Linked DNA regions of Saccharomyces cerevisiae S288C. Changing the gene in region 2 together with the main gene of any one other region gives a genetic interaction. Each region holds a gene or a part of one and is shown on either strand. Other genes may lie near its edges.

What was found.
Region 1: mutations in DIA2 (region 2) and SLX4 together harm fitness more than expected from each alone (negative genetic interaction), as found in Saccharomyces cerevisiae (7 studies listed by BioGRID, with this or other methods).
Region 3: mutations in DIA2 (region 2) and MAD2 together harm fitness more than expected from each alone (negative genetic interaction), as found in Saccharomyces cerevisiae (4 studies listed by BioGRID, with this or other methods).
Region 4: mutations in DIA2 (region 2) and EAF7 impair growth when combined (synthetic growth defect), as found in Saccharomyces cerevisiae (4 studies listed by BioGRID, with this or other methods).

What each region holds. Positions count from the first base shown.
Region 1 is NC_001144.5:410,532-418,970, reverse strand, and holds SLX4 (Slx4p), read right to left. Parts: upstream 5,691-8,439; coding exon 3,444-5,690; downstream 1-3,443. Other genes in the region: NHA1 (Nha1p), read right to left, coding at 1-534; RKM5 (S-adenosylmethionine-dependent methyltransferase), read right to left, coding at 862-1,965; TIS11 (Tis11p), read left to right, coding at 2,313-3,170; PDC5 (indolepyruvate decarboxylase 5), read right to left, coding at 6,557-8,248. UniProt on the Saccharomyces cerevisiae protein: Regulatory subunit that interacts with and increases the activity of different structure-specific endonucleases. Has several distinct roles in protecting genome stability by resolving diverse forms of deleterious DNA structures.
Region 2 is NC_001147.6:471,215-479,677, forward strand, and holds DIA2 (DNA-binding SCF ubiquitin ligase subunit DIA2), read left to right. Parts: upstream 1-3,379; coding exon 3,380-5,578; downstream 5,579-8,463. Other genes in the region: SKI7 (Ski7p), read right to left, coding at 1-406; RTS2 (Rts2p), read left to right, coding at 685-1,383; BUD21 (Bud21p), read left to right, coding at 1,511-2,155; Mn(2+) transporter ATX2, read right to left, coding at 2,261-3,202; TGL5 (triacylglycerol lipase), read right to left, coding at 5,725-7,974; transcriptional repressor WHI5, read left to right, coding at 8,319-8,463. UniProt on the Saccharomyces cerevisiae protein: F-box protein component of a SCF (SKP1-CUL1-F-box protein) E3 ubiquitin-protein ligase complex which mediates the ubiquitination and subsequent proteasomal degradation of target proteins. Probably recognizes and binds to phosphorylated target proteins.
Region 3 is NC_001142.9:384,035-390,806, forward strand, and holds MAD2 (spindle checkpoint protein MAD2), read left to right. Parts: upstream 1-3,622; coding exon 3,623-4,213; downstream 4,214-6,772. Other genes in the region: RNA-dependent ATPase HCA4, read left to right, coding at 1-2,115; Rab geranylgeranyltransferase BET4, read right to left, coding at 2,334-3,314, 3,402-3,404; VPS53 (Vps53p), read right to left, coding at 4,351-6,772. UniProt on the Saccharomyces cerevisiae protein: Central component of the spindle assembly checkpoint which is a feedback control that prevents cells with incompletely assembled spindles from leaving mitosis. Thought to be recruited to unattached kinetochores by MAD1.
Region 4 is NC_001146.8:368,373-375,995, forward strand, and holds EAF7 (Eaf7p), read left to right. Parts: upstream 1-1,995; coding exon 1,996-3,273; downstream 3,274-7,623. Other genes in the region: mitochondrial 37S ribosomal protein uS4m NAM9, read right to left, coding at 223-1,683; peptidylprolyl isomerase FPR1, read right to left, coding at 3,510-3,854; YNL134C (uncharacterized protein), read right to left, coding at 4,079-5,209; FYV6 (Fyv6p), read right to left, coding at 5,799-6,320; ribosome biosynthesis protein KRE33, read left to right, coding at 6,949-7,623. UniProt on the Saccharomyces cerevisiae protein: Component of the NuA4 histone acetyltransferase complex which is involved in transcriptional activation of selected genes principally by acetylation of nucleosomal histone H4 and H2A. The NuA4 complex is also involved in DNA repair.

The DNA.
Region 1 (8,439 bases), on a different chromosome or scaffold from region 2:
ACCATCATTGCAGCCTGACTCTGCAGACAGTAGATTTCTTAAGTGACCAGGTACTCTTTGGGCAAACTTACCGGAGACGACCGACTGCGCCAGAATAGGATCTGTTGCGGTAATGCACGCAGATATCAACAAACTAGCAGAAAAATTCAAGCCAGGTATAAGAATCCAAACGAAGAGACCAATAATAAGCCATCCAGCTGTCATCACTGGCAATAATAGCATCGTCACAGATACCCAATGCTTCAACATATATTTCCGTGGCAGTTCCACGGCAACGGCAAAAATTTGCAAACATAATACTATTCTCGTTATCTCTAATGTTATACTGTCTGAATTCCCCCATTTCAGAGGATTAAACCAGTTCAAGCAAACAGGACCCACAATTAGCCCAAATATACCTGCTACGGTGGACTCACCAATATAAAGCTTCTCCTTGACATAAAGTGACACTAAAGAGAAGATAGATGAAAAGACACCAACACATGCATAAGCAACGTGCGCCTTTGAGACTTCTAGTTGCTCCCAGATAGCCATAATATCTAGCTAAGTTCAGGATTTTTTTTTATAATGTACAAAAAAACACGATGCTTGGGAAAAATAAGTGCAGTGGAAAATGAAGCTTAAAAATCAAATGTGTGTAGAAAGTGTGATCCTATGTAAATCGCTAAGTCCGCTTTATCTTGACGATAACGGATCCAGCAGCTTTTAGATTATTAGCTATATCACACAGAGTTGGCTTAGTGCCCTTGCTAATCAAAAATGAAAATCTTCCCAATCCGTACGGAGGGGAAGAGGCACTGCCGCATCGCAAAGAAAAATAAGATTATCAGCATTATATTGTTTCTATTATTATATATGGGACTAGGTGATAAGATAAAAGTTAAAACGGGACTCTTGTATGACCTGGTCAACGATATCATAAACCGTGAAGTCATATTCTATGATGGCTTTCTCCAAGAACAGTGTTGTCACCTCTTGTGACCGCAAGTGTATCCCCACGAGGACATGGAATTGCAAATTGTAGGTAGTTTGTAACCAGTGTTTGAGTTGCTTGAGCGTCTTCAGAAACGGATCTATCAGGTACTCGTTGTATATGACATCCATAGCTATAACGTACACGGAAGAACATGTTTCACCTATGAGTGACAACTCAGGATGCAGAGAGTGGGTCTTTTTGTCTTGCAAGTTTATCTTCTCCCAGTCTAGAGCGGCTACTTCCAAATGCAACGTAGACTTAGATGGAAGTGACGCTGCGGTGATATCAGCGTCGCCAACTGGTTCGACGGTGGGAAGTTCCAATCTTAGTGATCGGGAAATGCACCGCTTTCTGGTCAACTGTGATAAGTTTTCCATGATGTTATCTTTTAATTTATTAAGAATGCCCTTCTGATCTGTCGACACGTAGGTGTCGACGAAGTTACCAAGAATCACGGGCAAAATACCTGATATTCCTGCTCCAAGTTCCAAGATACCTCTCTTGCCGCGATCAGCGCCCGTGAGGTCGACCAGCCTGGGCAACTCAAGCTTGTGCCCCTCGCAAGAAGACCCGCAGGTTACTTCCACCTGACTCCCAAGACGGAAAGGTGCAGCGCTAGTACTATACAGCAGCCAGTTGATGAAGAAAGGTGTGGTAGACCACAAAACGTATCCTGTGGTGGAGTTTCCGTTGTCTCTGGACGAGCGCAAGCTTGATATGGACTGCCCCACGCTAACATGATAGCTATCCACAGCAACATTCTGATCTTCTTCAACACTACTAGCCTTATTTCTTCTTCTCACTCGCTTTTTTTTTCTGCCGCCTTCCAGCCCAGAGGGTTCAAACGTTATCTCTAGCACACCGCCCCTTCTATCCTGAATACCCAAATCCTGCGCCAGTTTCCCGGACTGGCCCTCCAATTGTGTGTACCGTTCGAACACGTGCTCGTATATTGTTTCCTCATCCAGTAGCCATAACTTGAATGCCATTCTGCCTAGCCCATTTGCGTCTTCGCTGCCGTAACCATTCTCTCTTCTTGACAGCACTGCCTTGGTCAGTTCTCTATATTTGTCGCGCCGCCGCAAAATGCACCCACATTAAAGAAGACGACGCCAATCGACACCCTAATTTGGAGGTGTAGATGCACAATGGCACATGCAGTTGGGTGCATTGTGCCAGCAATCTCGTCTCGATTTCTCTACATGTAACTTGTATATATATTTGAGAGAAGACATAATCGTTGGTGGGACTTGGAGGCTCTTGGTAGGTCGTATTTGTGCATCTTGAGAGAAAGCGAAACAGTGCTGCAAACTCAATACGTAAAAAATAACGCAATATGTGGGCTCAATTATCATATACTAGACCAGAATCTCAGAAGACTGACTTAACGTCGTTGTTTTCCACAGATCAAGAGCAAAATCCATTAAATGACTACCAGTACCAGATCAATATTAGGGAACTGGAGGAGTATTACAACAAGACGATTTTAAACGAGGATAACATACAGGAAACAAGCAGTGAAATATCTTCGGCAGTTTCATTCTCTCCACCAAAAAATACAAACGCTATTCAACCGGGGCTACTGTATGATCCACAGTTAATGAACCCTTTTCTCCCATCCGCTCACCTGAATAGCACGGCACCTACTACTTTTAAAAAGAAACTAGAGGTACAAATAAATCCGGACTATGTCCCAAAATCTTCACAATTACCATTAACTTCACAGAATTTGCAACAGTTGTCTCAACAAAAGCCCAAAAATGATGCTTCTTTTTCATCAGAGAAGGAATCCTCAGCTCAACCTAAGGTGAAAAGCCAAGTGCAGGAAACTCCCAAACAATTATACAAGACAGAGCTGTGCGAATCATTCACTTTAAAAGGAAGTTGCCCTTATGGCAGTAAGTGTCAGTTTGCTCACGGACTCGGCGAATTAAAGGTTAAGAAATCGTGCAAGAATTTCAGGACGAAGCCCTGTGTGAATTGGGAGAAACTAGGTTATTGTCCTTATGGCAGAAGATGCTGCTTCAAACATGGCGACGACAACGACATTGCTGTTTACGTGAAAGCTGGTACTTACTGTAACGTCTCTTCGACTAGCAAACAATCAGACGAAAAGAGAAGCAATGGTCGCGGCTCCGCCAAGAAGAAGAATCTAAATGTTAAAGTAAAGGCTTTGCAGAGAATGACCTGGTGAAACAATTCCTGGCCTGGCGAAGACCGGCGTCTCAACTAAACTCAATTATTTATTATTTTTTTCTCCATGTTATGCTTTTTTTTTTTCTGCTTTTTTTTTTTTATTCTCATTTTCATGTTTGCGATATTGGTAACTCTAAAAAAAAAAAACTTTTATTTAAGTTAAGCTACTTCATGACGGTATATATGCATATTTGTGTACGTGTATTCTTCATCTATACGTAACGTTTGTTTTGTTTTGTTTTTGTTTTGTCAAATTCTCAATCATTCGGCACTACTTTTTATCGTTTCTCAGACATATTCCTTGAACATCGGCCCATTCTCTGATGGTCATTTCGTCGATTTGCGAAACAAATGGCTCGGCGCTGAACAGCTTTTCAATTAGCTCATTTAGCGGAATGGGTTCAAAGGTATATATTCGCTCCAAAAAATCAGGGAAGGCTTCAATTAGTTCGGTTAAATGATCAAATATTTCTATCTTACTGAAATTTGCCACCCCACCATGCTCACCTTTATTATCTGGATTAGCTGTGGACAGAATTTGAGATGCAGTTTGTAAGGATTGAATGATTTCAACCTTCGTCCTCATAGGTTTCAACCCCACTGTTTTCAAGCTTTGTCGAAGCTCTTTCATTGATTGGGACATCATGATCTCACAAAATTTCTCGGGAGAAGCTATGGAACTAGCTGCAGAGGTATCAATAATGTCGTTGCTAGTAGTAGGATTTTGTGTAGAATCTTTAGTCGAAATTTTGGAGGAATCTACCAATTGGATATCAGCAATGCAGAATTGGTCATCAAATTCTGTCTCCTCTTCTTCAGAATCATTTGCCTCAACTCTATAAAAGTTATGTTTCACCAGTTTGGGGTTTAGCTTAACTACGCTTTCTTGCAATAATTTAACTCTGATGGAACTTCCTATGTTATTCTTTTCTTCTTCAGTTTTTAAAGTTGTAGTAAGGTTCTTTTGAGGAATAATTGTAGGGGTTCTTGTAGCTGGTACCTGAACCTGATTTGATGCTTGTGATGTTACCCCTGTTTTGTTGTTTTCTACTTTCAAAGGTGATATTAACGATCGAACAGCTTTGAATGATTCCTGTGTTAAATCGATTATCCCATCCAAAGGCGATGTGTTTGGAGTGAAAAACTGTGTGCTGCCTATCGTGTCGGTGGCTAATGGTGGTCTTTCATCATTTTCAATGAAAACATACCGATACTGGTCTAGTGGAAACAATGTGGATGTCTCATCTGTAGTATCTGAGACAATAGAAATATTGTCATAATCATTATCCGTACTGTTTTCGCATCTTCTACTTACCTCAACAGACATAGGTTTGCAAGCTTTATAATCTGTCAGTGAAAATGCATTTATACGTGTTCCCACAGCCAGTTCAATATCTTCACCAACAACATTTCCTACCGGTTGTTGTGGCTCTAACCCGTTTCCATATTCTTGAGAGCTTGTAGAATCTCCCCGTGAAATAATTATGCTTTCTTCGTCTTTCATAATTTCACTTTTGTCATCCATTACTTGAGACAACGATAAGAAATTTACTGCACTTTGGGTATCGCGTATCCTTTCTTCCTGCTCTGGTTGAATAGCCTCATCGGGAAGCTCGGGTGGTAATTGTGATGCTGTCCAAAGTCTTTGTTGTGAGGATTCTTGATTGTCTAGAGAATTCGAGCTTTTTTCGCTTCCATATAAAAATTTCTGGACTTCATTCAAATCCGTTTCCTCACTTTGCGGAAACTTTTGTAGAAGAAGTTTCATAATATCTTTCCACTCCTGTTCACTATATGTATCAAAAGTAGCTTTTTCACCCTTGTTATTCCTTGCTCTGGGAGGTTTATCACTGTTTCCTTCATTTTGCGTCTTTATTATGTCCAAAACCTTCTTGTGCTTACCTGATAATTGCTTTAATAAGCTGGCAGTCCTTGAACGTTCGTAGTTATTAATATTGAAATCAGTTATATTTTTGATAATTTTAGGGTCTCGTTTAGTTTTAGGTTTTGTTTTGAGTTTCGAATTAGCCTTCCTTATTGCTGGTCTTCTTTTAGCTGTTACATTTGCATTGCTGTGGGTATCATCTGCGTTACTACTCTTGAACGAATACTTGAATTTTTCAAGTTTTAACTTAAGATTTGTTTCTTCCTCTGCGTCATCAAGTCGGCTTTGAATTTGAGTGTTAATGAATATGTTCTCCTCGATATTTGATCCGCCTAAATCGGGATGGGAAGTGCTGACTGGGTTACAACTTTTATCAACATCTTTATTTCTTTCTGTATCGTTTTTCGTAGTCTCTTGCGTCATAGGCGATTTTTGTGCAGTTACGCTTTTTACTTGCGTACCTATTGAATCATCATCAGATGATAAGGAAAACTGCATTTCCGGTACTTGAGTTTCCATTCCTAAAGAGTAAGCATTCTGGCTCTCTCCATTCAGGTTAGTTTGATCGGTAACGTTCACATAATCCTCGTTTTGTAAAAACTTCAAATTCCGTTGTGCCCTCTGAAGTTCCATTATTAAGTTCCCCAACTGAACTACTGGTTATTATTATGGAACAGAGATAGATAATATCTCTCTTGCTTGTTCGGAGTTCCATTCATCTCTATATTTTTAGTATGCAGCTTTCGCGTTATAAATTAAACAAAAAACCACTAAGTGACAAAGAACTACGCATATTAATAGTATACAACAAAAACAAAGGAAAAAAAGAAATGAAATCAATTGGCGAAGCAGAACAAGTTTTCTTTTCCCTACAATGATTGTAAATTCATATATGGTGCTCTACTGGTGATTTTTCATCGAACAAAAACCCGTTTTTAGGAAGGACAGAGGTCCATATCAATATAATTAAGAAGGCATGTTGGCCTCTGTTTCTTAATATATTCTAAATAAGATGTAAGGCCTTGTAATTCAGTTTGTTCACAAAATTAAAAACTGTTTAATGTTTTTTGTTTTGTTGTAGTATTCGAGCATTAAGGATAAAAAAAGCTTGTGAATAAAAATCTTTCGCTAAAAATCAATATAAGAAAATGGTAAGCAGCTGAAAGATAATAAGGTATGGTTAAAGATCACACCACCCTCTTCAATTAGCTAAGATCATAGCTAAAGGTACAAAACCGAATACGAAAGTAAATAAATTAATCAGCATAAAATTAAATAATAAACCACCTAAAATATTAGAAGCTAATCTTTAACCTGGAAGACAGGACAGAAAAGTAATTACAAGAACATATGTGAAAAAAAATAGTTGATATTTTAAACCAAATCAGAAATTTATTATACTAAAACTATATCTATGCCAATTATTTACCTAAACATCTATAACCTTCAAAAGTAAAAAAATACACAAACGTTGAATCATGAGTTTTATGTTAATTAGCTTATTGTTTAGCGTTAGTAGCGGCAGTCAATTGAGCTTGTTTAACCAAGTTTTGTGGAGCATCAAAGACTGGCAACATAACTTCAATCATTCTAATCTTAGAGTTGTCTTGGAAGTCCTTGTCTTGAGTCAACTTTTCCCATTCACCAGTGGTAGCAACTCTGTGGGTTTCGTAGTTTCTAGCACCAAAAGTTGGCAATAAGGCCAAGTGGTCCCAACCTTGAATTTCATTATATTCGGCATGAGGACCGTGAATCAATTTTTCAATGGTGTAACCGTTGTTATTCAAGACAAAAATGTATGGCTTCAAACCCCATCTAATCATGGTAGAGATTTCTTGAACAGTCAATTGTAGAGAACCGTCACCAATGAATAAAATAACTCTCTTCTTTGGATCAAGTTCTTCAGCGGCCATAGTAGCACCCAATAGAGCGCCGACTGTGAAACCAATGGAACCCCACAAGACTTGGACGATAGCGTATACATCTGTTGGGAAAGTAGTTTGGTTAATACCGAAGGCGGAAGTACCGGTTTCAGCAATAACAATATCACCTTCTCTCAAGAAGTTACCCAAATGGTTCCACATCCATTCTTGCTTCATTGGAGTGTTAGCTGGAGTAGACTTGGTAATTGGAACTCTAGCTGGGACAGCAACAGGTTTGTAGTCCTTGACGACTTCTGGAATAGCATCCAACAATTTTTGCAAGGCAAATTTCATTTGAACACCTGGGAAGGTGGCGTTTCTGATCTTGATGTGGTCAGAGTGGAATTCAACGATATTTTTGGTCTTGTAGGAGTAAGAGAAAGAACCGGTATTGAAATCAGACAACAAAGCACCGATAGACAATATCAAATCAGCAGATTCTACAGCCTTCTTAACTTCTGGTCTAGACAAGGTACCAACGTAAACACCACCGTATCTTGGGTGTTGTTCGTCAATAGCACCCTTACCCATTGGGGTGACGTAAACTGGGAATTGAGTCAAGTCCATCAACTTCTTAGTTTCAGCCTTGACATCATGTCTAGAAGCACAAGCATCAGCCAAGATAACTGGGTTCTTAGCATCCTTGATCAATTCAACAACAGTTCTAACAACTTCAGCTTCAGCTTCAGCGTCGTTTGGCTTCAAAGACAAGTCAATTGGAGTTTCCAATAACTTGGCTGGGACGTTCAAGTCAACCAAGTTAGCTGGCAAACCCAAGTAGACTGGTCTTTGGGTAGTGTAGGTGGTTCTGATACATCTGTCAATTTCAGCTGGAGCGTTAGCAATATCAGTGATCATGGCAGTGGTTTCAGAAATGTTGGCAGACATTCTGTGGAAAACAGTGAAGTCACCGTTACCCAAGGTATGATGCAACAACAATTGCTTAGCTTGAGAAGAGATGGATGGAACACCAACAACGTGCAAAACACCGACATGTTCAGCGTAAGAACCGGCAATACCATTCAAAGCAGACAATTCACCAACACCGAAGGTGGTAATAATACAGGACATACCCTTGATACGAGCGTAACCATCAGCAGCATAGGCAGCGTTCAATTCGTTAGCGTTACCAGCCCATCTCATACCTTTGACTTCATAAAGCTTATCCAAAAGAGACAAGTTAAAGTCACCTGGCAAACCGAAGACGGTGTTACAGTTGACTTGGCTCAATCTTTCAAATAAATATTTACCTAAGGTTATTTCAGACATTTTGTTCTTCTTGTTATTGTATTGTGTTGTTCTCTTTGAGATTGATTATGTGAAATAAGTGTAATAAGAAAGAGAGGAAAGGACTTACTACAGTATATTGATCGAGAATGGCAGCTCTTATATACAAGTTCTTTTAGCAAGCGCCGCTGCATTATTCAAGTCTCATCATATGAAATTTCTTTCGAGAGATT
Region 2 (8,463 bases):
AACAGTAATGGTTCATTTCTTTAATAGCCTTCCATGACTCTTCTAAGTTGAGTTTATCATCAGGCGATTTCCTTTTGGTAGGGAGTTCGTTTTCTTTGCTGTCTAATGTCACTGATTTTCCTTGTTTCTCCAAATCACTATTTGACTTCTTTAAGGCAGACAACTTTAAACTCAATGAAACACTATGCTGGTTCGGGGTAAAGTCGCTTCTTTTTACCTTGTCTTTTGCAAGTAGCGTCTTCAGATCCTTCCTTTTTGTCTCAGCATTGTTATCTTTAGTTTCTCTATTCTTATGTAGTCTTTCTAGTAAGGATGCACTTTTCGATGTACTATGAGACTGGTCCGCACTTAAAAGGCCTTTAGATTTTTCTATTCTTTTTCTTGCTAATTGCTCTAATAACGACATGTCAGGTGGTACTGTAAGTTTCGAAGACCACCTCCTCGTACGTGTATTGTAGAAGGGTCTCTAGGTTTATACCTCCAATCTGTTATAGTACATATTATAGTACACCAATGTAAATCTGGTCCGGGTTACACAACACTTTGTCCTGTACTTTGAAAACTGGAAAAACTCCGCTAGTTGAAATTAATATCAAATGGAAAAGTCAGTATCATCATTCTTTTCTTGACAAGTCCTAAAAAGAGCGAAAACACAGGGTTGTTTGATTGTAGAAAATCACAGCGATGGCAGATTATGATAGTGCGAAATATTGGTCCAAGCAGGGAGCTCGTCGTGGGTTACAGAAAACCCGTTACTACTGCCAAATATGCCAAAGGCAATGTAAAGATGCAAACGGATTTCAATCACATAACAAATCGCCATCTCATTTAAGGAAGATTAGTCAAGTGACAGCTGAGGACGCTAGGCGCTACAATATCCAGTTTGAAAAGGGATTTCTACAGTTATTGAAGCAGCGGCACGGAGAAAAATGGATTGATGCTAACAAAGTATACAACGAGTATGTTCAAGATCGCGATCATGTACATATGAATGCCACCATGCATCGTTCTTTGACGCAGTTTGTCCGGTACCTAGGCCGCGCGGGCAAGGTAGACGTGGATATGGATATTGATGATACATCTGAGAACGTTGAAGGTCCTTTGCTTATCAGGATCCATCCCTCATCTTTATCATCACCTTCTGAAGATGGAATGCTGCGAAGTCAACAAGAGGAGCAAGAAGTCATAGCCGCCGAGCTTTTGAAAAGACAACTCAATCGTGCTAAGCGACAAACTGAAAAGGTATATCAACCAGAGATGAAATCGGAAATTAGCGGGGATAGCACTCTGAAACGTGTTCAAGTCACCTTCCACGGGAATGGTCGGGTAAATAAAAAGAAAAAGAAGGTTCCTCCACGGAAAGATGGTATCAAGTTCCGTTGATTGAAAATTTTTCTTTTCAAGCGATGAGGTTAGCGAAGTTGTTCGAACAAGCCCAAATATGTTTAGAAGGCAGTACGAATTGATACCCTGAACTGTTACTACCCGTATACACGTATTAAGTAAGACAATGAGTAATGGACACGTCAAGTTTGATGCCGATGAAAGTCAAGCCAGCGCAAGTGCTGTCACGGATAGACAAGATGATGTGCTGGTAATATCAAAAAAGGACAAGGAAGTGCATTCAAGTAGTGATGAGGAAAGTGATGATGATGATGCTCCACAAGAAGAAGGGCTTCACTCTGGGAAAAGTGAGGTAGAATCACAGATCACTCAGAGGGAGGAGGCTATAAGGCTGGAACAATCACAATTGCGGTCCAAGAGAAGGAAGCAAAATGAATTATACGCCAAGCAAAAGAAATCAGTGAATGAGACAGAGGTCACTGATGAAGTAATTGCGGAGCTTCCTGAGGAATTGCTAAAAAATATAGATCAGAAGGACGAAGGTAGTACGCAGTACTCATCTTCAAGACATGTAACTTTCGATAAATTGGATGAGTCAGATGAAAATGAAGAGGCATTGGCTAAAGCTATAAAAACTAAGAAAAGGAAGACATTAAAAAATTTAAGGAAAGATTCGGTGAAAAGAGGAAAATTTAGAGTTCAATTGTTATCCACCACACAAGATTCTAAAACATTACCACCAAAGAAAGAATCATCCATCATACGTTCAAAAGACCGTTGGCTAAATAGAAAGGCTTTGAATAAAGGGTAATATATAGCATACAACATAATAAAATAATAGTACAATCACAAAATTAATCATAATGTTCATTTATCTATAATCAAACAATGAGAATATATACTGAAGTTTGGTAGGTTATTCTTCAGAGATGCAGTACGATATCACCAACGGTATGCAGACACCTATCAAAACATAAACGGATTCATCATGAGGTAAAACGACTTCCTGTTCAACGCTGAGATCGTGATCATGAGAATCTCCACCAACAAATGCTGTGAAAGACGCATATAGTAAACTGCCACCACTCATAAGCAGAAGATTTCCACTTATCCAATCCATCGTTGGCGAATGACTCAGATTCAAAAGGGATAACACTATGTATCCGATCGGAGTCGATGACGCAAACAAGAAAACGTTACAGATCACCTCCCATTTCATTAAGTTTTGTCTCGATACCATCAAACTAGTGAGGGAAAGAACGGCAGGAATTTTATGAATAACTATAGCAATTAACACCACTATGAGCAGTGAATCATTGTTCGTTGTCGTACCTAATGCAATTCCATCAGATAGTCCATGAATGAATAAGGCAAAGACAACATTGTTTTGTATTAAGTTCATCCATATTTGTCTTGGATGGTTTATTATATCTTTCCAGCTTTGAAATTTGACAGCATCATGCGTATAGACCGTTTGCTTTCTAGAAACCCATAGTGTAACCAACCTATCAAGAACATAAACACCTAGAAACCCAATTAATAAATTCACACCAACGTTTCCATCATGTTCGACACACGCTTTGATACCTTCCGGTATTACCAACATAAATGATGTACCTAACAACATTCCTATACCGAATTGTGATAGAACGGCAATCTTCACACGGTAACTACTAACATCGTCATTGATCGTTTGAGTATCTGCGTTCGTAGTAAAATCAGAAATTGAGTCAGCACCTTCTTGGTTTGTGACAATGGAACTTTTTTGTTTATCAATATAATACAATGGGATAAGCCCTATGAGGAAGGTAGCAATCAAAAGAAAACTTGCTAGCAGTATTACACCCAAAAACTTCATTATTATCGGTCTTGGTAACACTAGCTTTAAACCGCGCTTATTTGAGAAGTTTTTATGCAGCTAAACTGTTTCTCGTCATTTTTTTATAGTTATTTCTCGAAAAATATTATAAATAGACATGCAAAATGATTAGCCATGTCGTATAAATTTATTACCAAGAACAAAAAATACACCCCGATGTCTTCCCCAGGGAATTCAGGCGTGGCTATAGATTCTACCGTTCTGAAAGCAATTGAATTAGGAACGAGGCTTTTTAAATCTGGAGAATATTTGCAAGCGAAAAGGATATTCACAAATGCTTTGAGAGTATGTGATTCTTATTCTCAGGAGCAGATTATGCGCATTAGGAACGCGTATCAATTAGATACTGCGAGACCGGATAACAAACGATTATATCATCCTAGATACATAAAGATATTGGATAACATCTGTGCGTGCTACGAAAAATTGAATGATTTGAAATCTTGTTTGGACGTATCACAAAGGTTACTTAAGTTAGAACCAGGTAATATCAAATGCTATATACGATGTACAAGGACGTTGATAAAATTAAAAGACTGGAAAAGGGCATATAAAACATGTTCTCGTGGACTGCAATTATGCAATAACGATAGCAATCATCTAAGACAACAAAAACAATTCATTAAAAATAACATGGTTCAAAAACAGGACGGCAAGAGAAGTTATATAGATCCATTAGAGGAGACCAAAATAGCAAAAAAAAAAAAGAATAATAATGTTCTAGAATCGTTACCAAAGAAGAAGATTAAAGGTAGTACCAAGAAAACTGATTTAGTTGGCAATTTGCCGATAGAAATACTACCTATCATATTCCAAAGGTTTACCACTAAGGAGCTTGTTACGTTGTCGCTAGTTTGTAACAAATGGAGGGACAAAATTTTGTATCATTTAGACTGCTTCCAAGAATTCAACTTGGCACCAATAAATTTTAAAAATTTTGTAAAGTTTATGGATTTTTTACAACAGAATTTCACCAGGACGTATAGAAAATATATTCTTTCACAAGTAAAAGTCAGTTCTAGAATCACTTCGGAAGAGTTACGAATAACTCAATTATTATTCAGTAAAATGCCGAAATGTATAAACATCGAACGGCTTATACTGTCAATGCCAACACTAACTACAACACAAATCTTTAAGTTAATGGTTAGAGGAGGCACAGATTTTTTTACAAGGCTGCTGGAATTATCTCTCATGATAACTTATAGGCCTGATAAACAACATGAATTGGAGATACTGCAGACTTGTCCTCTGTTGAAAAAAATAGAATTAATTTTTGTCAATTCACTGGTACCAATTTTCGACGGAAATAATAGCGTTGGGAGGGATGGAAGTTTCAATGTGATGGCCCGTCATACTAATATGCAGATATCCACTGCGGATAATGATGAACAGGGAATAGTAGAAGAAAAGGTGATTTATAGTGAGCTAGAGAAGATAACATTGATATGTGATAAGAAGAAAATTAAGAATTTTCCACTTTGTCGTGCTCTATTAAGAGGCCAGTTTCCTCTATTGCAGAAACTGACGATAACTGGTGTAACATTTCCTATGAATAATCAAGACATAATGAATTTTCAATGGCTATTGAACTTCCCAGACCTAAAAGAACTATGGATAGAAGATAACGACAACTGTGAACTCAGTAAGTTTTTGCAATTGTTAAAATTTTCGAATGTCTGGAAAAACTTGGAAAAGTTAACCTTTAGAGAGAACAAGCTATATCCAATTGTTAATTTGGATGAAGATCAGCCTGTTACGAATGACGACGAGGTGCCATCCATGCTATTTTACAAGGAAAATCTCCAAAACCTGGAAAAGTTGGATCTAATGGGGACATCGATAAGTGGTTCTGCGTTGACTAGATTATGCGAGCAGGAATACTTGGATGGTCGGAAATTAAGAAGTTTAAACATTGGGAATTGCCCCAACATCCAGTTCCCAAATAATCACGCTCATACAGCAAGGATGATACTGGATGTGAATGCAGTTTTGAAGAGACTCTCCAAGTTGGAAGAAATAAATTTATCGCATCTCAGCTCCTTGAATGATAGTACGATGAAGTCATTCATTATTAATGTACCATTTTTGGAAAATTTAAAGAGGCTTGACATTTCGCACAATTTTGAAATTACAGGAATATCAATATATGAATTTCTAAAAAAATTTCAGATGGATCATGACAACGAAGCGGGAGGTCAACCACTGGCATATTTAAATATTGACGGATGTTCCCAAGTGTCTCATATCACAGTTAATATGATCCGAGCGCAGAACTTAGTTACTCAAGTGGATTGTGTTTATGAAAGAGATGTATGGAGAAAATTTGGAATTAATTCATATTCATACTCATAGATTAATAAATCACTGATGATAATGCAGTATCCTTCGGAAAATTCTTAGAATATTTAATATAACAAAATGGCATGTACCTTTTGGAGTTGATGGAGGTGAGAATATAGAAAGCTTTTTATATAAAAATGTACTTATTGTCTTTCATTTCAATTTTGAAAAATGTCTGAATTGTTCATGAAATTGTCGTTTGTGGCAGCCGACATAGCGTCCATGGGGAACCTGCTTGGATTGAATAAAGTGTTATCAAATGAACCGTTTTCAATAGCCGGTATGGGAAAATCTTCTGAGTTTGTTTGAACATCATAAGAGGAAATTGTTCCAGATTTTTTTCTATTTTTCCTCATCTCTGCCGACATATTTTGATTATAATAAGAAGATCTTTTTTTGAATTGAGGTCGTGATGGAACCTTCAATGGTGATTTCTTTAGCCGTAAACTAGATGCACCGATGGCAAACGATAAAGAATTTGCCTTCTGCCTTGTACCCTGCTGCGTGAATGAAGATTTTGAACGTTGTGGAGATGTAGAAGGCGATGGAGAAGGCGATAACATATCCATTTTCCTCTTGTTGAAGGTAGAAGATGGAGAAGGCAATGGCTGAAGAGGAAATCTTCCCGGTGCCGCTGTTTTGTTGGGAGACTTGATAATTGATAGTGAATTGGAGGAGGATTCTTCCAAGTCAACTCCCGGCAAGTCAGCATCCATTATGGAAAGAGATTTGATTTGCTCACTGAATCGAGGTTGGTAGAATTGTAAAGGGTTTTTTATTGACGAAGAGATTATTATTTTCTCCTTTAGGAATGTGATGGCCTTATCCAAGGCGAATTCTTGGCCACAGTTATTTTGAATCATGGAAATTTTCGGCCAAGTAGCTCTTGCACCTAAAGTAGTTTGGTGCAATAGGAAAAGTTGAGATGGGTTCTTCAATACTTCGTGGAATTGACCAACCATTGATAGATCGGGTAAAATTGTGACATTGCCAGAGTATTGTTGTAAAAAAAGGTGTTTCAATTTGGTCATCAAATAGGGATGGAACTCAAGCTCCTTTAGGATGTCTAAAAAATGAATAGTTTCGTCGGAAAAAAATTTGAAGATCTTTGTTACTTGGTTTCTGAAACGGGCGGTAATTTCCTTTTCAATTTCACCCCCAACGCAAGTGTTTGAAAACTTTAACAGGGGAAAGACATGTATATTTACCTGGCAGGCGATAATGTGGTCGACATTGAACATTTCAGAAAGACGAGAAATGGGCATGTCATTATCTACAGATCCGTCCATGAATTTCATGTTTGATAAATGTAAATTTGTTGCCCCCCACTCTTTAATCTTTCCAGTGTGAGGATCTTTCTCGAATAGCGGCGTGGAGGGGAAAACTCCAGGTAGAGAACAAGATGCGCATACGGCAGACCAGATGAGAACGTTTGGAGCGGTTAAATTGTTTAGTAGTTTCGGCTGTTCGTATATGGAAGCAGGCGAGACTGTGATATTCAGGATTTTTCCAGTCTTGTTGTAGGCTTCCCTAAAGGTCAAGTTTCCTAAAAACGAAAGCATTGTGTTAATCAAAGGTTGATTATTGAACCAGGTACCGTTTTGGCAGAACCTCGATATCTTGATTAGTAAGTTTTCGTTGGGAGATTTGGAATTGTCGTCATTGAAGATGTTAAACTCCATATTAAGTACATTGGTCAACAAGGAGGGAATTTCCTGGGTCGTGTGGACGCAAAATATGCTGGCAACAATGGCGCCAGCACTGCTACCGCTGATCACCTTAGGCATCAGGTCCGATTCAAAAAGGGCGGCAAGAACACCAATGTGGAAAAGGCCGAAAGTGCTCCCACCGCTAAGCACGAGAGCCGTGCGCCCTATGTTTCTTCTCGTCTGTTGCAAAATACCGAGGAGATAGTGATCGTTCATATTTGACTGATGGATCAGCGCGGTGAGCACTGCTTGAGACTCTTCTAGGTAGTCATGTATAATTTGTTTTGTGCCGGTATGCGAGTGCCTGTAAAGATTAACGTTATTCATGTTGCCAAGATTACGGACCCACTTAGTTCTAATCAGATAAAGCAGGCGGTGGTAGTCGTGAGTGGTTCTCAAATGGCGCATACGGATGGTCAAGTCTTGCAGCAGCTTATAGTTATACAACGAGGACTCGTCGATTGTTTTCCATTCGGAAAGTCCCGTTAAGTCGTCTAATCGCGACGCTATGTCATTCCATTGATCGTAGGAGATGGCGTGTTTTTTCTGGGAAGACAAATCGGATATGAGCAGCTGTTTACGGGAGAGAGTCTTGTGGTATAACCATTTGAAGAGCGATGATGAGTCTGTGGCAGGAGTGTTGGAAAGTTCGTAGTATTTGGATAAAAGAAATTCTGTTACTGGCAAGGTATTAGACATAGCAACGAAACAGAACCGTCTTCCTTGTGCTGTTTATGATGTCTTTTGTCTCCTATTGTTTTCGAATTTTATTTTTTTTTTTTTTTATTTTTTTATTTTTTTTTGTTTTATATAATTCCTCGCGCTGCCTTAATGATAATTCTTGATTTACTAATTGTTTCATGACTTCTGGTGCTAAAGGGAAGGGGGAAAAGGGAAGCGAAAACTTCAAGAGCAGAACGAAAAAAATAAAAAAAACAAAACAAAACAAAACAAAACAAAGGCAAAACAAGGCAAAGAACCTGATGGAAGAAAGCACAACCAGATATTAATAGCAACGAAAAATAGTAGAGACATTGAAGAATATGAGTTTGAGAACGCCGAAGAGAAGCAGGACTAGCGATGAACAAGAACAAGAACAAGAACAAGAGCAGGTACAGAACCCAGATACACATGTAAACAACGAGCATCAGCAGCGACCTGGGCCAACCACTCTATTGAGCACGCCAG
Region 3 (6,772 bases), on a different chromosome or scaffold from region 2:
ATCCAAGCCGATTCTATTCCCGTGTCCCTGCAAGGTCATGATGTATTGGCGGCCGCAAAGACAGGTTCCGGTAAGACATTAGCATTTTTAGTTCCAGTAATTGAAAAGCTATACCGCGAAAAATGGACCGAATTCGATGGGTTAGGTGCCCTTATCATATCTCCAACAAGAGAGTTGGCTATGCAAATATATGAGGTTTTGACGAAAATAGGTAGTCACACTTCATTTTCAGCTGGGTTAGTTATCGGTGGTAAAGATGTTAAATTCGAACTAGAAAGGATATCAAGGATTAACATTCTTATCGGTACACCTGGTCGTATTTTACAACATTTAGATCAAGCCGTAGGTCTAAATACTTCCAATTTGCAGATGCTTGTTCTTGACGAAGCTGATAGATGTTTAGACATGGGGTTTAAAAAAACTCTGGATGCCATCGTAAGCACATTGTCACCATCTAGACAAACACTTTTATTTTCAGCGACTCAATCACAATCTGTTGCAGACTTGGCTAGGCTTTCCTTGACAGATTATAAAACCGTTGGTACACATGATGTGATGGATGGGTCGGTTAACAAAGAAGCATCTACTCCAGAAACTTTGCAACAATTCTACATTGAAGTTCCTTTGGCAGATAAATTGGATATCCTTTTCAGTTTTATAAAATCACATTTAAAATGCAAAATGATCGTTTTCTTATCAAGTTCCAAACAAGTGCATTTTGTCTATGAGACATTTAGGAAGATGCAGCCTGGTATTTCTTTAATGCATTTACACGGTAGACAGAAACAACGTGCTAGGACAGAAACTTTGGACAAATTCAATCGTGCTCAACAGGTGTGTCTTTTTGCTACCGATGTCGTTGCTAGAGGTATTGACTTTCCTGCAGTCGATTGGGTTGTTCAAGTGGATTGTCCAGAGGACGTTGATACATATATCCACAGAGTCGGTAGATGTGCTCGTTACGGTAAAAAGGGTAAATCTTTAATCATGTTGACTCCACAAGAGCAGGAAGCGTTCCTAAAAAGACTTAACGCTAGAAAGATCGAACCAGGCAAACTTAATATAAAACAGTCAAAAAAGAAATCCATTAAACCACAATTGCAGTCATTATTATTCAAGGATCCAGAACTAAAATATCTAGGACAAAAGGCTTTTATATCGTACGTGAGATCTATATATGTGCAAAAGGACAAACAAGTTTTCAAATTCGATGAGTTACCAACAGAAGAATTCGCTTATTCTCTTGGTTTACCAGGGGCCCCAAAAATCAAAATGAAGGGTATGAAGACCATTGAGCAGGCCAAAGAAAGAAAGAATGCTCCAAGACAGCTAGCTTTCTTATCAAAAGCAAATGAAGATGGTGAAGTAATTGAAGATAAGTCGAAACAACCAAGAACAAAATATGATAAAATGTTTGAACGTAAAAATCAAACCATCTTAAGTGAACACTATTTGAATATAACGAAGGCTCAAGCACAAGAAGACGAGGATGACGATTTCATTTCTGTCAAGCGTAAAGATCATGAAATAAATGAAGCTGAGTTACCAGCTCTAACTCTTCCAACTTCAAGGCGAGCACAGAAGAAAGCGCTTTCAAAGAAGGCATCTCTGGCCTCCAAGGGTAACGCTAGCAAATTAATATTTGATGATGAAGGCGAAGCCCATCCAGTTTATGAACTTGAAGATGAAGAAGAATTTCATAAGAGAGGTGATGCGGAGGTACAAAAGACAGAATTTTTAACTAAAGAATCTGCAGTAATGGCAGACATTGACAATATTGATAAGCAGGTGGCTAAAGAAAAAAAACAAGAGAAGAAGAGAAAAAGACTAGAAGCCATGAGAAGGGAAATGGAGGCTGCTATGGAAGAAGAAATTTCTGGAGATGAAGAAGAAGGGAAGACAGTAGCATATTTAGGAACAGGAAACTTGAGCGATGATATGAGCGACGGTGATATGCCTGACTCGGAAGGCCACTTGAAAAAGAAAGCTAGAACTGTTGACTATTCCCACGGCCACAATCCATCCAATTCAGTTGATGATGACATTATTGAAGTGGAAGAACCACAAACTTTGGAGGATTTGGAATCTTTGACAGCTAAATTAATCCAGGGTTAAACCCTCCTGCATAGTCTAACCTATAGTATTTAGAACTTGTATACATCTATTCTCTACACTAATATACTTATTTCTTTGTTCAAATCATCGGTAATATTACAATAAAAGAAAAATATGCATATACTTTCGTGCATTGAAGGTGTCAAATGAAATCCCGCTTATAGTGAACAGGCTTCCATCATATATACATATATATATATGTTTATATATGTATATCATCACTTATGCTGCTCCAGGAGATGTAGGTATCTATTCTTTCTTAACGGATCCGCATCTATTAATTGGACCAAATATTGTTCCGAGCTTCTTTCCGTTAGAGCTTCCTTTTCTTCCAGAATATCTTCGAGAACTAATAAAATTTTCAAGCACCAAATATTTTGCTTCCCGGAAAATTCAATTTCGTCATTATTTATTAACAGAATGTTTTCTCTCAAGTCTTTCAACATTTTAAGGTACTCTTGTTCGTCCAGAGTTTTACAAACAATGTCGTTTTTAATGAACCACTTGATATAAAACCATACGGATTGGTCTTCGGCGTCGGTAAACATAGCGTTGATGATATAAGATATTTCAGTCCGAATATACTCCTTTTGATTCCCAACCTCTCCTTTCTGAAACATTCTGCTTATGATCTGTACTCTTTGGTGCCATGCAGAATAATTTGAAATGTTATTGTTAATCTTTATTGTTGTGTATTCAAACTCCTCCTTGTCAAGACTTTTATTAGTGATACTCTCTATGTTACCAACAACTATTCTGCGGTAATGCCATCCGTGGTAATTTCTTGCATCTTGTTCCAATAACTTATTCACGACAGCAAGTTCAGTTTGCCACACTTTAGGGGAACTCGTAGGATAATGTTTCAAGACCCAAAGTCTGTGATTCCATATCCAATAGACTTTGGGGTAATCCTTCAATAGCATCATTACAAAAACTAACTCTTTATCCCAGAAAGGTATTTCCAACTCAGAAGCCAAACTCGCTATAATATCCCTTCTGTAATTCCAAATAGCATTAAATTCCGGATTTTTCTCAAGAAGTTCTGATGTTTTCTTCAGAGCTTCAATTGAGTAAATTTTTTCATCTCTCATATTCAAAACATTTTCAGTCAAGCTTCTATAATCATATATTTTCTTTTCGTCTTGAACTCTCTTTTGTCTCAGTAATTCCTTGGTCCACTGTTTCCTTTTAATGCCATGCTGTTTAATGTGGCAAATATAAAAAATTGCTTGGTAGTCAGTAAAAAAAAGAATTCATAATGTAACGAACATTTGAAGTGCACATACCATTGCTGACCTACTGCTTTATAGTATAAATTCAGTATACTAGGTATATGTGGCTCAAAAATGTGGTTTTTTTCTTTTTTGCCTTTAATTTTTTTCAAATGTTTACGTATGGTTTATGATTTAACATTTCAAGAATAGAAATCGCCCCGAAGAATGATTGATGTTAAATACTCGTACAAGAGTATTGAAAACCACTTCAAAGGGGCCCAATAGCACATTTAATGTCACAATCAATATCACTAAAGGGTTCAACAAGGACAGTTACAGAATTTTTCGAGTACAGCATTAATTCCATTTTGTACCAAAGAGGCGTATACCCAGCAGAAGATTTCGTAACGGTGAAAAAGTACGATCTTACGTTACTAAAGACACATGATGATGAACTGAAAGATTACATTCGGAAAATTCTTCTACAAGTTCACAGGTGGCTTCTTGGTGGAAAATGCAATCAATTAGTATTATGTATTGTAGACAAGGATGAGGGAGAGGTGGTGGAAAGATGGTCCTTCAATGTGCAACACATTTCTGGCAATAGCAACGGGCAGGATGATGTTGTAGATTTAAATACAACACAATCACAAATCAGAGCTTTAATCAGGCAAATCACCTCAAGCGTTACCTTTCTGCCCGAACTAACAAAAGAAGGTGGGTACACATTCACAGTACTTGCATATACAGACGCGGATGCTAAAGTTCCGTTAGAATGGGCCGACTCCAATAGTAAAGAGATACCTGATGGTGAAGTAGTTCAATTCAAAACATTCTCTACCAACGATCATAAAGTTGGTGCGCAGGTCAGCTATAAATATTAATAGAATTCAAGTCAAAAAAAAAAAAAAAGACGGAAGTCCAAAAAAATCTCGTTTTCGATGTTTAGAAAGAATATAGATTTATGAACTATATTATACTATACTACGTACTTCCTCTGTAAACCACTTCATGCGTTTTTTCAAGTGCCTCTGTTAAAGAACCTTGAGTGAGAAACGAAGTCTTTGACACTCAAACTTTGCTTTTTTTGTTCTTCTTTTTGTTGTTGTATTTGAGGGGTGGATACTATCCTCTTCATAACAGGTGGTGATATTTTCAGATCTTGCCTCACAAATTTTGACCAATTCGGATCTTGCATCCTTGCCAAGTTGTTTTCAAATTGACCCAAAAGTACCTTGTCCCACTTGAATATGAAAAGATCGCGATTACTGTCTGGCCTGCTGCCCTCGTCAGTGTCGTCTGTTTCTAAGTTGTAGGCACTCCATAGCTTTTTCCATAATGCCAGGTCCCATGGAATGCCCTTTAAAGCGAGGACAAAAGACCATACCGCTGAATCAGGGTTATTATTGGTCAATTTGGAGTAGGTCTCGTAATAGTCATCAGCGGAATCCAGAGGAGCCATTAGAAGTTTAATAAACTTCAGCAGCTGGTCTATATTATTGTCTGCATGTCTTTTCACCCTCTTATAAGAGGTATTTTCTCGCAAGTCAGAATCGTTACTTACACTTTCTGGTAAAGTGTGAAAAATCTCCTTCAGCAATTCTAAATCAAGGAGAAGCTGCTCGCCAATGTTGACAACAGTTCTGGTTTCAAATTTCCTTTTGCTGCCCGCCAGGGAAAAGGGTGGAACGGGCTGCAGAAGGCGGATGGTATTGCTTACAAAATTTGTAGTGATGATATCAATCACCTTATCCAAGAAATTCCACTTATAAACATCTCTATTGAATTGCGACAAAATAAATGCCAAAGTCGAAGGTTGCTCTTGCTGTTGTTTAATAGAGGCATCTGTTAATGCGGGCATTTTAAGTACGGATTTGAGGGTTACCATGTACCTGCTATAATCTTCTATCGCAGCATTTGACCAATCATTGTTGATAAACTCTCTCCATACAAAATTTAGATCTAAGGGTATGACACGGTTTAATAGAAAAGAAGTTCCTTTTGCTAGTAAATCGTCGTATATATTTTTCGTTTTCGTAAAACTGTTTGCCAGCTTTTCACGATTACCGCTGAATTCAGATAATTTATCCTCCAATTGATCTATAGTCGTGGCACAATAATCTGCAGTATTGATCAATAAAACGGTATACTTGGCAGCTTCTAGCTTATCCTGGACTTCAATATTGTCGGGCAGCAGTAAAGGAAGAAGAATTTTTTGTGAGTAAGTTTGAAGCCATCTACTGAAAAAATTTGCCAATGAAGTCAATATGCTATCATTGGCATTATTATCAATGAGCTCTAAGGTCTGAGTCAGTACGGAACGATATGTCCTGAAAAGGTCTGCACTCGAGGGTAACACGAGAGATTCTGTTTCATTAGATGGGTACTTCGGCTCACTCATATAAGAAAGAAATTTCTTTTCCATCATTTGGTTTTGGTGAGACACCCATAAAGTCAAATAAGGTTCGAAGCAGGAACTTAGTTTTGGTTCCTTAATTTTTTTTGAAAATCGTACGTCGATGTATTTTTCGAAATCTAGCGTCGATTGTAATGCTGTCATGAATAGATCAATGGAAGGGTTCTTGTCTTTGAATTCCCTTTTCAGAAGTGTCTGAAGGTCCTTGTGTGTAATGTGATAAAAAGTGGTGGTCAATCTGACTGCCATTTCCCAGTCTTTTAAGAAATAGTCTGCGAACTTTGAATTGAAGTTATTAAGAATTTTTTTGAAGTAAATGTATCTTCTCGATAAATTTTCTAGGGATCCGGCTTCATCGTCGACCCTAAATATCTCTTTCATTTCGAAGAGAAGTTTGTCCAAACACCAATCTATCATCTGGGCTCTCGTACTTGTATCGCAGTCGAGTAGCTCGCAGGCACCTTCGCGCAATTCCATAGTGAGTGCTGTATCATGCTCTGAGATATTGCCGCCGGAAAAGAGCGCATTGTAGTTTTGTTTAATTTTGGACAAAGTGTCTCCTTTCAGTCTTGAAATGGAGCTCAACAAATAGTTTATCTCGTCCAATGATTTGTAAGAGATGAATGTGTTTTCAGCAAGCGAACACATTATCTTATAAGGGGACACCATTTTTTTGAATGAGCCCTGTGAGAGTAATTCATTGCATTGTATGTAACTGTCTGTCAATATCTTTAAATTTTGGAAAAGAGTCAAAGAGTGGGTGAGGTTTTTCTTGGCAATGTCCAGGTACGAGATACCTTCTGTCAGATTCGATATCGTCAACTCGGTGGAGGCTGAGACATCTTGAGTTTCTTTGAAATCTTGGAAAACTTTCCTCAGAGAAGCCTCTATTTCAGCGGAATTTTTAGGGTGTTCCTTCAATTCATTCTCTTCTTTGAGAATATCCTCTTGCAATTGCTTTTTGTAGCTTCTGGTAATACTGATCAGTTCATCTATGTTGTTCAGGGATTCTTTTGAAAAAAGTATA
Region 4 (7,623 bases), on a different chromosome or scaffold from region 2:
AATCAATCAGAAAGAAAAGTGAATGAATAAACAATTATATACTTTTTGTAAAACCTTTTTTTCATGTGTAACCTTTTCTTAAAGAAGTAACAGGAAAACGAGGAGCGACTAAGTGACTACTTGATCGTTCGAGTAGAACTTAAAAACAAAAAAAATTAAATATTTACAGTGTAAAGAGAGGCTGAAGATCAGTCAAAAGACGCGTGCAACAATACACGACGATCATTTACCATTTCTCAAGTAATACATATATGCACGTTCATGAACAGGAACATCAAATGGTGAAATTACTTCGGATTGGCCTGGTCGAGCGACGGGATCCCTTAGGTATACAGCGTGGCATGTCTTGAAAGATATTTCCAAATGATGAGGTAAAATGGCGAAAGGCGATAAAAATGGTCTTGGCTTCCATGGTGTGAAAAAGGGTTTTTTAGGATCTTGCCTACCATAAACATAATTTTTCTGCCACGGCAAGTTTATCAATTTACGTGCTTTTGGTTCATCACCTTCCAATTCAGATAATTTAATCGGATCATGATATTTTAAATTTTTGGCCCATTTGGGGTCGAACGTTAGTGAACCATCAGAAATATCACTCATCCTAGTTTTGAAGTGGTCTGTTATATTTTTCGTCCATAGTTTCACGCTTTCCGCTATGATTCTTTTTCCAGATCTTAAAGCGGATTTGGCTCCATCAGATAATTCTTTTTTTGTGGTTTCGTTAGGATTCATCATTTCTGTAGCCAGTGAAATCAACTCGTCAGGCTGACATTTAGAAATGATTTCTCTTCTAATTTCACCGGATTTGAAAAACTCTTGATAAGCGTTATTTAGACTTTCTAACAACTGAGAGTCCTGGATCTCAGGGAGACCCTGTTTGAGTTCATCTATCGACAAGGGCTCATTATTCGACTTACCTATTTCCTTCTCTACATTTAAAAGCTTTCTCAAGATACCTTCCTGTGTGCATCCCTTTAATGCGTTATATTGCTGTGACTCCAGATTCTTATTATATTGCCTCAAAAATTCTTGAAACTGAAGTTTCTTTGGGTTAGAATCCGACATCTTTTCAAAATTTTCCAACTTCTTCTCCCAAACTTCCTTTGGCTCCGTTTTCGCTTCCTTAACATACTTGTTCCATAAAACTATTTGAGTCTTATCGATCTTTAGCGCTTCTTGGAAACTTGGTTTCTTGGCACCGAGAGCTTCCAGCACTTTGTCCGGTTTGACACTGAACATATCTCCAGGCTTTAAAGTATAGCTTGGATGCTTAATTTTTACACCATTAACGCGAACATTTCCATGCAAGATGAACTGACGAGCTTGTCTTACTGACGAAGCAAACATAGCCCTGAAAAGGGCAAAATCAAGCCTTTTTTCTAATACTGCAAAAGTTTGTAATAAAAATGGTGTTTCCTTGATTTCACCTCCACGCAGTGAAGCATCCAATTGTGCTACTGAATCCAATTTGGGTTTGAAAACGGTTTGCCATCTCTTTTCTGTCAAATGTTCACCATGATAAGCTCGGGTTTCCTGCTTTGCCGTCCACTTCTGTTGATACAAAGATTTAGACTTCAAGTCTACACCACCCTTTTTGTACAAATTAAACAAATTATACTTATTGAAAGAAGTGCGTACTCGTCCTCTTGCCAAAGATTTTAGCAAATTAGCCTTTCTTGGCATTATCTCTGTATTTTAATTGTAACCAGTCTTCCGTACCAAAAAAGTATAAAGGAGCTCCTACTCGATATATATTCGAATTAGTTGCACTTCCTCTGGGGAAACCTTCACCTTTTTGACCGTTCGCTCTCTCTTTTTGTATATCTTCAGCATAGTTCCTTAACTAATACTGCGAAGCGAAACGTATCCGGCTGCCACCATGAAAAGTAAAATCGTGCTTAACGAAGAAATCAATCATATAATCTATGAAGATGGATTGGCGGAGTTTATTAGAAGTTGCTAGCTGCTAGTGAAGAAAAGGGAATCGTGGATGTGATGGTAGTACATTGGACAATTGTGGATGAAATACGACTTCTTAGATGGGCATCTGAATTCAAACCGGCCGGAATTCATAAGCATTTCCACATGTTTTGCATAGTGGAAAGAATGAATTCGCCAGATAAGTATCCAGTGACGCTATTACAGAAAGAAACCATGAAGTTGGGGAAGGTATTTACTGCAAAAGACATATGGGATAAGTTGAGCCAATCTTACAATTTAGAGAAAATTGATGAAATGGAGAATACATATTCCTTGGAAGCCACTACAGAGAGTTCACGGAATGGCAATGGAAATGGTGACGATGCAGAAATTCATGAAGAAACTTTACTTGAATTGAATAATCGAATAAGAGTACGCAAGCAAGATTTTACATTACCTTGGGAGGAATACGGTGAGTTGATCTTAGAAAATGCAAGAAAAAGTCCAAACTCTAACGAAGAGTATCCTCGAGTTGAAGATATGAATGAGAAAGATAGTACAATTCCAAAGGAAAGTCCTTCTACAGACCTAAAGAACGACAACAATAAACAGGAAAAAAATGCGACAATTAAAGTGAAAGAGTTGCCTGAATATCATACAGAGGAAAATGATAGCCCCATAGACGTCCAGAAAGAACCCATTAAGGAGGTGCAAAGCGATGAAAAGGAACTCCAGAGGGAACATATGAGTGAAGAAGAACAGAAAATGAAAAGTACAAATAAAACAGCAGCTCCAGTAAGAAAATCTCAAAGGTTGAAAAGAAGTAAGGAAGTTAAATTTGAAGATGAAGAAAAGGAAGAGATAGAAGAAGATAATACGAAAGACGAAGAACAGAAAGAAAAGAAAGAGGAGATCCAGGAGCCAAAAATAACCCACAATGAAGAAGTAGATAAGGAAAAAAACGAAAACGAAGAAGGTGATGATGAGCGTGAAAAATCCACCTCTTATGAAAATACCAATGGCTCTGAAAGCGAAGGAGTTGACGAAGGAGTTGACGAAGAACTGGGATACGAGTCTGAACGTGAGGCAGAAGGTAAAGGAAAACAAATTGAATCAGAAGGGGGCAACTTAAAGAAAAAAACGGAAAACAAAAAAGGAGATGATCAACAGGATGATACCAAAAAGGATTCTAAGGACAAAAATGAACCATTAGCAAAGAGAACTAGGCATTCATCATCCACAGGTAATACTAGCAATGAAACCTCGCCGAAAAGGAAAAGGCGGAAGGCAGGCTCTCGTAAAAATAGCCCTCCTGCCACAAGAGTTTCCAGCAGGCTACGAAATAAAAAATAATCACTGCTCATATATAGATCGCGATAATAAACGCTCATCCGTTCCATAGAGGTATCTGTATTTAATGTAGTGTAGCAGATATAGAATAAAATAACCTTAATGAAGAAATAGAATATACGTATGCTTCTCCTTGTCTAATCTTTTGTAATTATATATCTATTTCAATTAAGGCTCAGATACTTACCATAAACATAAATAAAAAGCAGAAAGGCGGCTCAATTGATAGTACTTTGCTTTTAGTTGACCTTCAACAATTCGACGTCGAAAACCAAAGTACTGTTTGGTGGAATCAAACCTGGGAAACCACGTGGGCCATAAGCATATGGGCCAGGGATGGTTAACCTAGCTTTTTCACCAACAGACAACTTTGGAATACCAACATCCCAACCCTTGATGACTTGGCCGACACCGATGTTACATTGGAATGGAGAGCCCCTGTCAACGGAGGAATCGAATTTTTGGCCGTTCTCCAAGGTACCGGTGTAATGAATGGTAACCAAGTCACCTGTCTTTGGGAAGGTGGCACCATCACCTGGGGAAATTCTGTCAATTTTGACGTTACCTTCAATTACTTCAGACATTATTACTTGTTTTGATTGATTTTTTGCTTATACTCGAGTTTAGGTGAAAGGCCTTACTTTAAGCTTTCACGAGTTTATCCACCAAATTCTTTCAACGACGTCTCTCTTCCGGCAATTTTTTTTGCCCGAAAAAGACTAAGGCGGGTGAGGGGAATTGAACGGCACTATAATGTGGAGGTAAACAGAATGATCAAGCGCTATATACATAAGTAGCTATAGATTATTTATTTCAAGACGGCAACCAACTTTTCGCCAGAATTCCTCCCGTGCTTAATATCATCAAGTAACTGTGGGATATCATCTAACCCGTTCTTGTAAACTTTCACTGGGATGTGGTGGATTTCACCATCATTGATTTTTGGATTGATGAACTTAATAAATTTTATGGCGGCTTCCTTGTATTCAGGGTCTGCTGGCAAAGTAAACGTGCCAAATGGGACGTCGTTACCTCCTATCAAATATAGAAGGGTTCCTTCAATACTGACGTTTTGCCTCCTGTCTTCCTCCTTGATATCTTTTTCGGTTAAAACGGTCAATTGAACGACCGTAGCGTCTAAGTCATCAGCGGCACATTTGTACACCTGTTGAATAGTTTCTGTGTTGGAGACACAGTCCACCAAGTAAGGAATGTTGTTGTACTTCTTTTTTATCTGTTCGATAACGTCAGCATCGTGGTAGTCAAAAAGTTCATCTGCACCGTACTCTTTCAACAATTTTTCATGTTTACGAGAAGCAACGACGATGATCTTGCTGAAACCGTTTAGTTTTTTTGCCAATTGAATAAGCATCTGGCCAACAGCAGTGGCACCACCCCAAAATAAGATGGGTTGATCTCTTTGCGCTTTGGAGGGCTTCCATGTCATGTCCAAGCCAAAACTATGTGTAAGGATCATACCAGCCGTGGTCAATGAGACTGGGAGGGATACTGCCCCTTCTAAAGATTTTACGGGGCCTTCTGGTAGCTTGTCTTTACCGCACAATCTAAACTCTCTGGCTGGTTTATAAGCAGTCTCGGATGAAATGGCAGAGTACTCAGCAAAGGCACCGTTTGAGGGGAACCTCACTGAAGCACCGTGAATAACCCCATAAATGTAATCACCAATGGCAAAGCGTGCAGCATCAACATTTGGGCCCAACTTTACGATTTGGCCGGCTGCATCACAGCCTAAGAGGGCACCTTGAGGACCAATCTTGAAATCAATATGTTTCCAATCGGTAGGGTTACCGGCAACGGCGACAGTCTTAATTAGAACAAATCCTTCTTCTAATTCAGGAATTGGAATGTCCTGTTTGACTACAGCCTTGCCATTTTCAATGACAACGGCTTTCATGGTTTCTGGAATCGAGGCGGACATGCTTGATATGCAGTATGATATTGCTTTTTGCTGTGTATAGTTAACGATTTTTTTTCAACTAGAATTACAGTACTAATCAAGAAGTGAGAGGAAGAAAACGGCAAAAAAAAAACTCTCTCCTTTTAAATCGAAGCATTGCCGAAATACCTTAAAAACGGTCTTAAATCCTTAACATCTGTCCTTACTAATCGATGCCAATCCAACGGAGGGAGCCCATATGCTAGGTACTAAGAGTACGCAGGGGCGGAACCGCGCGACAACCGTAAGCGGATCCGAGGAACTTTAGTCAGCAGGGGCTGTGATGACCATTAAAAAATTGCGGACACAGGTAGTGGAACGAGCAATCAATGTGATCAATTTGCCATTTCATTCCACGAAATGGTTTCCATTCTAAGCATGAATGCTTTGACGTTACGGGTGTTGGTTATTTCGGTTCTTTTTATTGCTTCCGTGGGCACGTACGAGAAGGGAAGATGAATAGAAAAAGAGTTTCCGAGTTTTGTATGTCCAATGTTTACATAATTTATATAACTTGAAGTTTAATCTTGGCATAAAGCTCTAGTTGTGACGAAGTGTGTAGGCCATCACATCAGTTCTCCAGTTTTCTACCCAATTTTTTTATGGATACCTTGATTTTTGGTTTAGGGCTGGATGTCTTTACGCCCTTTATTTGTGTTTTACTGCCCAAACTAGTGCCGGTCTCTAAATATTTTTCTGTATTAGTAGTAGAATCGTTCTCCATTAGTAATGCTTTTTTTTTCTTTTCAAAATTGATTGCCTTGACGTCTAAGTAGTTATTCAGTTCTTTTTCCTTTTTTAGCAACTCATTCTTGCTCTTCTGGTAAAATTCCAGGTCCTCTTTACTCAACCTAGTAAAACTTTCACGGTCTCTCACCAAACCGTTATATTGTTTTTGTTTACTAATAGCATTAGACCTAAGCTGATCTCGCAGGGACTTCCTGGTTTTCCTTTTATATTCCGCTTCATATTTTTTTTGCTCCACTTGCTCTCGTATCCTCTGGGCCTCTACATTACCAACTCCTTCTGACACGAATTTCAGTGGTTTTTTCTCTCTTGCACTATTAGCATTATTATCACTGGTAGATGACATGATGATATAACAGAGCCCACAGTCTTTTGTTGGAACCGCTTTCTCTAGGCTTCGATGGACTTACATCTAATTGCACATTCTCGTGCGTTTAAACGTCATTTTTCCCTCAGATTGGCAGTGCATCAAAAGTAATTCCTAGGGACGACAAAAAGGCGGAAAAGGTTTCAGAAAAATAAGCGGACTTAGCTCAGTTGGGAGAGCGCCAGACTGAAGAAAAACTTCGGTCAAGTCATCTGGAGGTCCTGTGTTCGATCCACAGAGTTCGCAATTTGAAAAATTTTTTTTAATGATTACGCATGTGGATGTGTTCAGTATCAACCGATGCTCGCTTTTCCAATCAAATGATACAAGCCAGACCGAACATTGCATGTTTTCCATTGTAACTTCCCAGGTATATCTGAATTAGTTGTAAAAAGTAATAGTTTACCCGGAATCGTGTGAAAAATTTTGAAAAAAAAAAATGAAGAGCCAAGATACAATGAGATGAGATGAGGTGCTGAAGATGCATGGAGATTCTGTATTTATCTCAAATAAAGTACGCAATAGAGTATATAAGCCAAGTCACCTTTTATATTTCTTAGTTTTTAACTTGCAAAGACTTATAAGAGACTTATAAAACAAGGAGAAAATGGCCAAAAAAGCTATCGATTCAAGAATCCCGTCACTGATCAGGAATGGTGTTCAAACCAAACAAAGGTCCATATTTGTCATCGTTGGGGACAGGGCACGTAACCAGCTCCCAAATTTACATTATTTGATGATGAGTGCTGACCTTAAGATGAACAAGTCCGTCTTATGGGCTTATAAGAAGAAGCTTCTAGGATTCACTTCGCACAGAAAAAAAAGAGAGAATAAAATTAAGAAAGAAATTAAAAGAGGTACAAGGGAAGTGAATGAAATGGACCCTTTTGAATCTTTTATCTCTAACCAAAATATCAGATATGTATACTACAAAGAGAGTGAGAAAATATTGGGTAATACCTATGGTATGTGTATTCTTCAGGACTTCGAGGCATTAACCCCAAATCTTTTAGCAAGAACCATTGAAACTGTAGAAGGTGGTGGTATTGTGGTTATTTTATTGAAATCAATGTCATCGTTAAAGCAACTGTACACCATGACTATGGATGTTCACGCCCGTTATCGTACTGAGGCTCATGGTGACGTTGTTGCAAGATTTAACGAAAGATTCATACTTTCTTTAGGTTCAAATCCAAACTGTTTAGTCGTTGATGATGAATTAAATGTTCTACCGCTATCTGGTGCCAAAAACGTGAAACCACTACCTCCTAAGGAAGATGAC